Linked DNA regions of Saccharomyces cerevisiae S288C. The protein of the gene in region 1 purifies or fractionates together with the protein of each later gene. This does not show direct contact. Each region holds a gene or a part of one and is shown on either strand. Other genes may lie near its edges.

Region 1 (5,700 bases):
ACCTAAACCCTCTACTAATGTAGACGATCCATTGAGTGCTGTGACAAGCGGAATCAATGCGTATCTAGAGGCTGTGAAAAGTGGTCCTGTAAGAGGTCAAAGAAACAAGCTGAAATTCAGGAAAAATGGAAAGGACTCTGATGAATTTGGCGATGATGATGATGGTGAAAAGGATAGTAGGCTAATGAGAGGAAGAGTAAATCAAGGTAACAAGATTGGCAAACATAATAAGAAAGGTCCAAAGTTCAAATCTAGAAAAAAATTATAGAAGATTGAAACTGAGCAATATGGCTAATTACACACCTGGAGAAAAAATCAGATATGTATATATAAGAATATTATAATACTGTATATTAAAAATGATTAAAATAAAGAAAAAAATGAATCGGGCGTTTAATTGCTTATTATCTTGAAGAAGCGAAAGTACACTATATAGTAATAATGTGAGGTTAATTAAATATGGATGAGATAATGACGAAAGAAAATGCAGAAATGTCGTTTTAAAAGTAACCCCCATAATCTAGTGAGGTTCGACGTTGAAATGTGCTGTCCATATCTTCCTGCTCTGCCCATTTAGTATCAACATTTGAGTCGAATTGAAACATTGATATGTCACGGTCATCACCATGAGGAGACTCTGTTAAACTTTTATTGTTCTCTTTAAAACTTTCCTCATTGTTATTTTCTTGAGACTTTTGGTTAGGGCCTTCCACTTCGCCAAGTGATTCAAGCTCCTCATCCTCAAATGAAAGAGTTATATTTTCTAACCTATTTTCTTTTCTCATTATCGGCAGTTTGCTAGTTACAAATGGATTTTCTTGGATCTCTGTTAAGGCATCCTCATCTCTTGGGGTCATCGCCGAAGGCATCCTATCTTCGTTTGTTATGGTAGTGTGGTGATGGCGGCTTAGAATGGAAGATTTATAGCCTGCAATATGTGGTAAAGCCGGTACATTTTGAGATTCTTTTTTGGAAGCTCTTTCAATCATGTTTATACGTTGTCTAGCAATGACTAATTTGATCCAATCATCTAATCCATTATTATTTATTAGATCTTCTATCAACTCTGTTTTTCTATTCTTTGTTTCTAATTTCTGTTTCGCACCCTTGTTTTGCAGTAATTGATTGAGATAGTCAGGTATTGCTGACAAAGGATCAGATTCTTTTTCCTCACTTTGTAGTAATTCTACTGTGGGTAAGGCAGTTATTCGCGCGTCGGTCAATTGAGTACTATAAATACACCAGTCCTTGAACTTTTCCATTCCTCGTGAACTTGATAATTCGGAGTTTTCATCATAGACATCCAGAACGTTCGTAGGCTTAACAATACCTAGATTTTCCAGAGCCAGAGTTATATCTTGTAAAGCAATTGTATCGTCCTGATCACATCTTGCCTGAGCGATAGAACTGACCTCTGATGCTAACAAACTCAAGAATTTTGCATAGAGATCGGTCATGACATCCACCAGACTGGGCCTTGCCCTGTCAAATCCTTGTGCCTTCAATAATTGGAGAATAGATATGCGTAGTAGAGCAAAATAGAAGTCATTATTTGTAGTCATAGCAGAGGAACTCTATTGACCCAAAGATATCGCTGTTTTCCGCTAGTAGGTGATTTGGAATTGCTCAGGAAGCTACTTCAAGTGTTATATTAGCATACCTTCATCATGCAATATGAAATTACTGAAAAAAAAAACTAAAGCATCGCGAGCTTACCCGTTTCGCCACTTCTGTCAAGTGAAAAAACACGTTTGCATTGTTTAGGCTACAAGGTGTGGAATATCGAAGTTATTGCTAGACAGAAGTTCTTTAGGCATTTAGGTTTTGTTTGTGAGCTGGCTTGCTAATTTTGAGTACTGTGCATCATTGTTCCAGGATGTCTTCTTTATCGCTATATACTGTTCAGGCTGTTTTAATACTAGATCAGCAAGGAGAACGAATTTATGCAAAGTATTATCAACCTCCTCATAGATCTGATGAAGGACACCAATTGCTCTTCAATTCGGTGAAGAAGCAAAAAGAGTTTGAGAAACAACTATACCGTAAGACTCACAAGCAAGATTCGGAGATTTTAATCTTCGAGGATCATTTAGTCCTTTACAAAGAATACATTGATATCACGATATATTTAGTTGCTTCGCTGGAAGAGAATGAAATTGTTCTTCAGCAAGGATTTTCAGCAATCAGAGGAGCTTTGGATTTGATTTTGAACTCAGGAATGGACAAAAAAAACATCCAAGAAAACTATGATATGGTTTTATTAGCTATTGATGAAACCATTGATAATGGTGTTATCCTCGAAACTGACTCTAACACTATTGCATCCAGAGTTTCTAAACCACCTACGAACGAACCCCAAATGGCATTAGATTTGGATAAGGGTTTCTTAGGCGCGTGGGGTTTCGCAAAGAGCAAGTTTCAAGAAAGGTTACAGCAAGGCTTATGATCACAAGGCAAAGCGGATAGAAGAAAATTTTAGCTGGTCTTATATGGTATATATGCAGTGTCTTACTTTCTCCCTTCCATATATATGTATCTACTTATATATATAAGTATATGTTGCTCATTTAGAAATGATTGTCACCTCATGCTAATCATTTTATTCTTCTCGTTGGTCTGTGATGAAAAATAATGAAAAAATTATAATTGCTGTCTATTTTCTTTTCATCTCATATGATTTAGCGTTTTTTTTTGCCCTTCTTCGAAGAGTTACCACCGTTCTTGGTGGATTTCTGCCCAGCGATTGTTACTTTTAACTTGTCGACACAGAGCAGAAGAACCAAGTCCTGTTCCTTCAAGCCTTTAATCATTTCATGTTCTTGGGGCCAATCCATTTCGTTGTCAGTTGAAGAACCGTCTAGTGGTCTACTCTTGAAATAATGTAAAATTTCAGTTAAAGTCTTAGTTTTCTTCGCACTTCCCGGTTGTATTTTGACTTTGTATTTATATTTCAAAAGCGCAGGCCAGGGGGCAAATACTGGTATAATATCATCAACCACATCGCCCTTATCGAGAGATGGTTTTAATTCGGACTTGTGTTTATCATAGTTCACTCTTGCTTTCTCTTTTTTGGTGAATTTTAAAGCCTGTAGTCTTCTTTGTTTCTCGCGTTTATTCTTTCTATCTTCTCTAACTTCTCGCTTCATTATTTCTTCTTTCTTCCTTTGTTGCTGCTTTTCGATACCCTTCAAAGTACCCAAGGCCTCCAAACGCAAGAGACGTTCAGTTTCATCCTGGTCGGCGTATTTCTTTTGAATTTTCTTCAATTTTCCTCTTTTACCACGGACGTTACTGTTTATGTTTTCGATTAAAGATATCGGAACACCTGGTTCATCAAGGATACGCTGCGTACTGCTATTGTCATTTTTGGCTTTAGCATTTCCAGAATCAGAGTCGGTATCGGATGATATGGTGCAATGCTTTTCGATGTCTTTTTCAAGATTATCGTGTTCAAAACTGTTGTTTTTCGTGCTATCGTTTGAATCTCCACCCTTCTCTAACCCATTGACCTCGTTACTATCGTCTTCATCTTGCTGTTGCTCTTCTTCTTTTTCTTCTTCTTCTTTTTCTTCTTCTTCTTCTTCTTCTTCTTCTTCTTCTTCTTCTTCTTCTTCCTCTTCTTCTTCTTCTTCTTCTTCGTCATCATCACCATTATCCTCATTTCCACTGGTTTTCACTTTCCATAAAAATCCAAAACCCATCACAAGTTGAGCAGGGGGTAAATGGTTTTGATCATTCTCATTTTTCAACCGAAAGGCACCTTCTGGCAGAATGGAGTTATCAGAGCCATCGAATTTACTAACATTCTTTGCAAAGCACCACCATGGAGAAGAAGATATCTTCTTCGACCAAGCCTCGCTTGAGGACATGCATAGTATACCCGCTTGCATCAAAGTGTTCGGTGGAACTTCTGTTTTTTCTGGATTTTTGATCCATACATGAGAGTTAAAACTATTGGACATATAAATATCATCATCTTCAATATATTTTGAATAGATTTGATCTGTCTCAGCCGGACTTTTACCCATCATGACCAAAAATCCTTCACTTGAAATAAACCAACTATATTTTTCAAAAAAGTAAGGAGTGCGGATCTTTTTTAAGACACTGTGAGAATCTTTTAGCTTTTTTTTCAATTGTTGATCAATTTTGACTTCAATATTCTTCATAGCCTTGCCGACATTCTTTTCGACTTTTTTCTGCTTTTGAGCACTTGTTTTTTTGATATTGAAATATTCAGTGGCATTGGCATAAGCTGATAAACCAAGGTCAATTGTAACGTTTATCTTTTCATTAGATTTTCTTTTCATACTTTTTGTACTCCTCTCCTTCGAACTCTCCATGTCTTCTGAGTCTGAGTCACTAGAACTATCAGTAGTATTGCCTTCTGATTCATTGTCCTCGTCTGAAGAAGTGTTGAGTTCCTTGCTAGAGAGATCAAGCTTGACGCTAATTTTGTTCTGTTTCAAGTTCAAAGGCAAGTTCAAAAGCTGAGCAATTCTGTTGCCTTTTTTTTGTTCACTTTTAATTAGTTTCTCAATAGTGTTCCAGTCCATTTGTTGATCGATTAGACCCTGAACAGCAAGCTTAACTTCCTCTATTAAGGGTGCATTTTCAATTATGAGATGGCCTTTCCTTTCATTTAGTTCTTGGACGTCTAATAAAGCTTGTATTTTTCTATCATTTTCGGCACGAGCATCATCGATTTTCTTTTGCGCTTGCGATTCCTGATTTTGTATACGTAGAGCATACTTAGAGGATTCTATTGTTGAGAAAAATTTGTCTAGCGTCCTATTGTAAGGACCTTCAACTTCAATGATACAAGAAGAGTCAGTGTCTCCCCCATTTATATATGGCTTAAAGGGATGGAATGTATCATAAATAAATTCCAAATCGGCAGTATCTTTTTCAGAGATATAATTTTCATTTCTTTTGGCCAAAATGTAACCCTTTCTATCGGTGGTAGTTAAAAGTTGATTATATTCTAACTGAGTACTGTTTAGCAATTCGGCGAGTGAGTCTGTTTCCTCCAAAAGATTTAAACAAGACTCTGAAGGGTCGATATTGAATACCTTAAGGTTCTTTGATAATAAATCTGAAGACAAATGAGGGACTTTCGAAAGCAGCAGTTTATGGATGGAAGGTACTTTCACTTTTTTTTTTTTAGCGCCCTCCTTCCCTTGAATGTTAAGTTGCTTAATAACAGTAATGTCTGATTCATACTTGGCTTGAACTGCTTTTATCCACTCGTTGACTAGTTCAGAGGTGTATTCTGCCTTTCTGTTTTTTTCTATGGATTCATCAGCAGACTCGTTATTTGTGGTAAAAAGTGATTCGTCAAACATTTCATAAATTTGTCCGACCTTATTTTCATGCTCTAGAACGACTCTTTGCAAAGCCATAATTCTTCTGTTCTCATCTAGAAGAATGACATTCCCTGCACTGAAAAATTCCAAAACTAAATAGAAGTGGCCATCAGCAAATTGTAGAACAAGAATTCTATCCTGGTCTACTTGCTTTAAAGCTGTTAACCGTTTAGCTTTAAGATGCTTCCTTAGTTTGACAACAAAGCCGGAAGGAGTTGGAGGTATTGGCCTACTAAATTCAGTTAAGTAAATTCTTAAGCCACAATCGACAACAACATTGAGTTTAGAATCTGGTTTATTAAATTTCAGCAAAAATTGTTTTGAGGAATCGGCA
Region 2 (2,996 bases), on another chromosome or scaffold:
GTAAAAATAACTTACCGCAGGAGACATTTTTTACTGATAACGATCGCTTCTAAAACTCGTTAGTACAGGCTCGTTGTGACTTAGAATCAAATAATAGATGGGTTAGGAGGCGCACGTACCTTCCTAAGCACAGAAGGGAGCTTAAGTTGCTGTTTCAGGCGGTGACTTAACAATACATCTTAACTATCCAATGCTGACAGCTGAGTATTGCAACACAACTATCAGAGGGAGGAGTTTGCCGTTACTAATGTAGCAGGGTTTTTGAATCTAAAAGAATAAATGTACCAGTTGAATCCTAAGATTTTACTTGGAAAAATATATAAATAAGAAAACAATGCATTCAAAATTGTGCCATTGTAATGACAAGTGTTTTTGTTCAGCACCAACGCAAACTCAAAACCCCTTTTATAGAGCAAACGCCTAATTAATAAATCAAAGGGACATATGTACTACGTATATCTGAATCAAGCCTACGTAAACGGGCCTGCCAAGTAGCTATATCATTTTTTTGTTTTCTTGAGGTTTTTAGGCCCCTGCTTCCTAATCTTTGTTGCCTTCGAATCTGTTGATTGTTTAGCGCTATTACGGCCCGCTGCTTCCTCATCATCATCCGTCACCTGCTGCTCATCCTCATCCTCTTCCATCTCGTCACCCTCTTCATCCTCTTCTCTGTACCTCTTTAATGAATTTTGATTGTCTGTCTCATTGAACTGCTTCTTAGCTTCCGTAATCAACTTATTAGTAGCTATCAGTTCTTCTGCTCTCCCAAGCTTTATCGGGTCTTTACGGAGGGCAAACTTGAAATCTTCCAATCGGAGCTTATTGCGCTGAGAATTCTGGGCTGTATGGAATGCGTTAGTACAAACATCCACCAAATATCCAGATACCAATTCATCCAAACACTGCACAGTAGCTTGTAGTGGCTGCGGCACATCGCCGTAAGCGTAAAGCAAGGAACTTACATCCTTGTTAAACAGATTCGTTTTTTTCAGCTTCCTAGACATATCTTATCCAGCTCACCCTCGCCTGCCGTTACCTTTTGGATTTCATGTTGCAGTTGTTGATGAACCTTCTTTGTTATCAATGACTCTTCGCCTGCGGTTTCCGCTAGAACTCAAAAATAAATGAAAAAAAAATACACCTTGCGAAAAGCATCTCTTTTAGATTTGATGCTTTAGTGGGCAATAGTTACCGATATCAGTACCTCGAAAATTTTAAGTTGCAGATATAATGGGAATTTCCAGCAAGAATGGCCCTAAAAAAATGGGAAGGGCAAAGACGTTTACTGGGTGTTGGACGTGCAGAGGAAGAAAAGTTAAGTGTGATCTTCGGCATCCCCACTGCCAACGATGTGAAAAGTCTAATTTGCCTTGTGGCGGTTATGATATCAAACTCCGGTGGTCTAAGCCTATGCAATTTGACCCGTACGGTGTCCCAATCCCACAAAATTCTCCTGCAACTACTACGAACTTATCAGGTAGTGTCGATGAACCACAATACCAACGACGGAACATCGATTTTGTGCGCTATGATGAAGAATACGTGTATCATGAAGATATGGATGATGAGCTAACAATGCTGCATACTCCCCCAATTGAGAAAATAAGCGATAACAAGACGTGGATCATAAAGAAATTTGGGGTGTTTAAAGGAACAGATAAGATCGACAAGCAGTACGCTCCAAGGAAGAAGCGCAATAGGAAAAGAGTTGCCAAAAGCTTGGAGAGCTCAGCTTCTATTTCGTTATCTTCTTTACCATCTTCTTCAACTATTTCCTTTCCAATTAGACATATTGAAGACAAGTTGAGAAATAAAGGGCATGTAAAGACAGGTATTCTCTCTGCTAATGATGGTGTTCCACCAACACCAAATCTTTTAGATTATGACTGGAACAATCTGAATATAACAGGTTACGAATGGATCTCGAGTGAACTCAGAGATGATGCATTATTGTCAGCGGTGACCTTACAGGGACATCACTTAGGACACACACAGCCACAAGAAATCTCATTAGAGGAAAACTCTAATGTCGTGAGTGGGGAAGAGCATGTGAATGCCAAAGAACATGGATGTGCCTTTGAGGCTGATAATCAAGGTTCATCAACTTTACCTAATAAAGCAGCCAGTGCCAATGATAAACTTTACCAGCAAAACTTGAAGTTACTCTTCCAGAAAAACTCTTCGAACAGTGAGGAACCAGACCCTCAAGCATTGATCGACGATGTGTTCGTCAATATTGAACCAAGATCTCTGCCCGCATCTGATCTGAATAAAATAACTCTAGCTCCTCCAAATGAAGAATCACGCATGCCTAAGTCCATGTTAGAACTCACATCCTATTCCAGTGACCTACCACCTGAATTGGTAGATATTATACCCAAAACAGACCTTACCGTACATGGTTTAGCGAGATTTCTTTTAAATCATTATTTTAATAATGTTGCAGATAAAATGACAGTGGTCGTGCTCGAAAAGAACCCATGGAAAACATTATACTTCCCCAGAGCCTTGATGGCATTAGGCGATTTAGCGGGTTTGGGACAATCCTCCAACTCGAGGAATGCGTTGTTGAATGCTCTTCTTGCTGTCTCTTGCTTCCACTTGCAAAGCAAGTACCCAAGGAACTACAAACTACAAAAATACTTTCTGGGCCTAGGTATCGAATTGAGAAATCAAGCCTCGAACTTTCTAAGATTATGTTTGAACACAAAATCAAGCATACCTGAGAAATATAAAGACGTACTAACTGCGATCTTATCTATGAACTCTATTGATGTTGTATGGGGGACGATGGCAGATTGCCAGGATCACTTGGCTCTTTGTGAAGACTTCGTTGAGTCAAGAATGAAACTAAGACCTAATATTTCTGAAAAGACAAAAACCTTACACAGGATTTTCTCGTTTCTGAAGTTAATTCAAGATAGCACTGCGTTGGATAAAGTCAGGGCAAAGGAAATTGTTATTTTACCAAGTGAAGAAGATGATAATTACAAACC

Evidence for each region.
Region 2: the proteins of TAF3 (region 1) and TAF13 purify together in Saccharomyces cerevisiae (affinity purification with mass spectrometry; 5 studies listed by BioGRID). This does not show direct contact.

What each region holds. Positions count from the first base shown.
Region 1 is NC_001148.4:533,142-538,841, forward strand, and holds TAF3 (Taf3p), read right to left. Parts: upstream 1,563-5,700; coding exon 501-1,562; downstream 1-500. Other genes in the region: mRNA-binding protein RRP12, read left to right, coding at 1-268; RET3 (coatomer subunit zeta), read left to right, coding at 1,877-2,446; RQC2 (Rqc2p), read right to left, coding at 2,679-5,700. UniProt on the Saccharomyces cerevisiae protein: Functions as a component of the DNA-binding general transcription factor complex TFIID. Binding of TFIID to a promoter (with or without TATA element) is the initial step in pre-initiation complex (PIC) formation.
Region 2 is NC_001145.3:75,275-78,270, reverse strand, and holds TAF13 (Taf13p), read right to left. Parts: upstream 1,005-2,996; coding exon 501-1,004; downstream 1-500. Other genes in the region: ARG81 (Arg81p), read left to right, coding at 1,231-2,996. UniProt on the Saccharomyces cerevisiae protein: Functions as a component of the DNA-binding general transcription factor complex TFIID. Binding of TFIID to a promoter (with or without TATA element) is the initial step in pre-initiation complex (PIC) formation.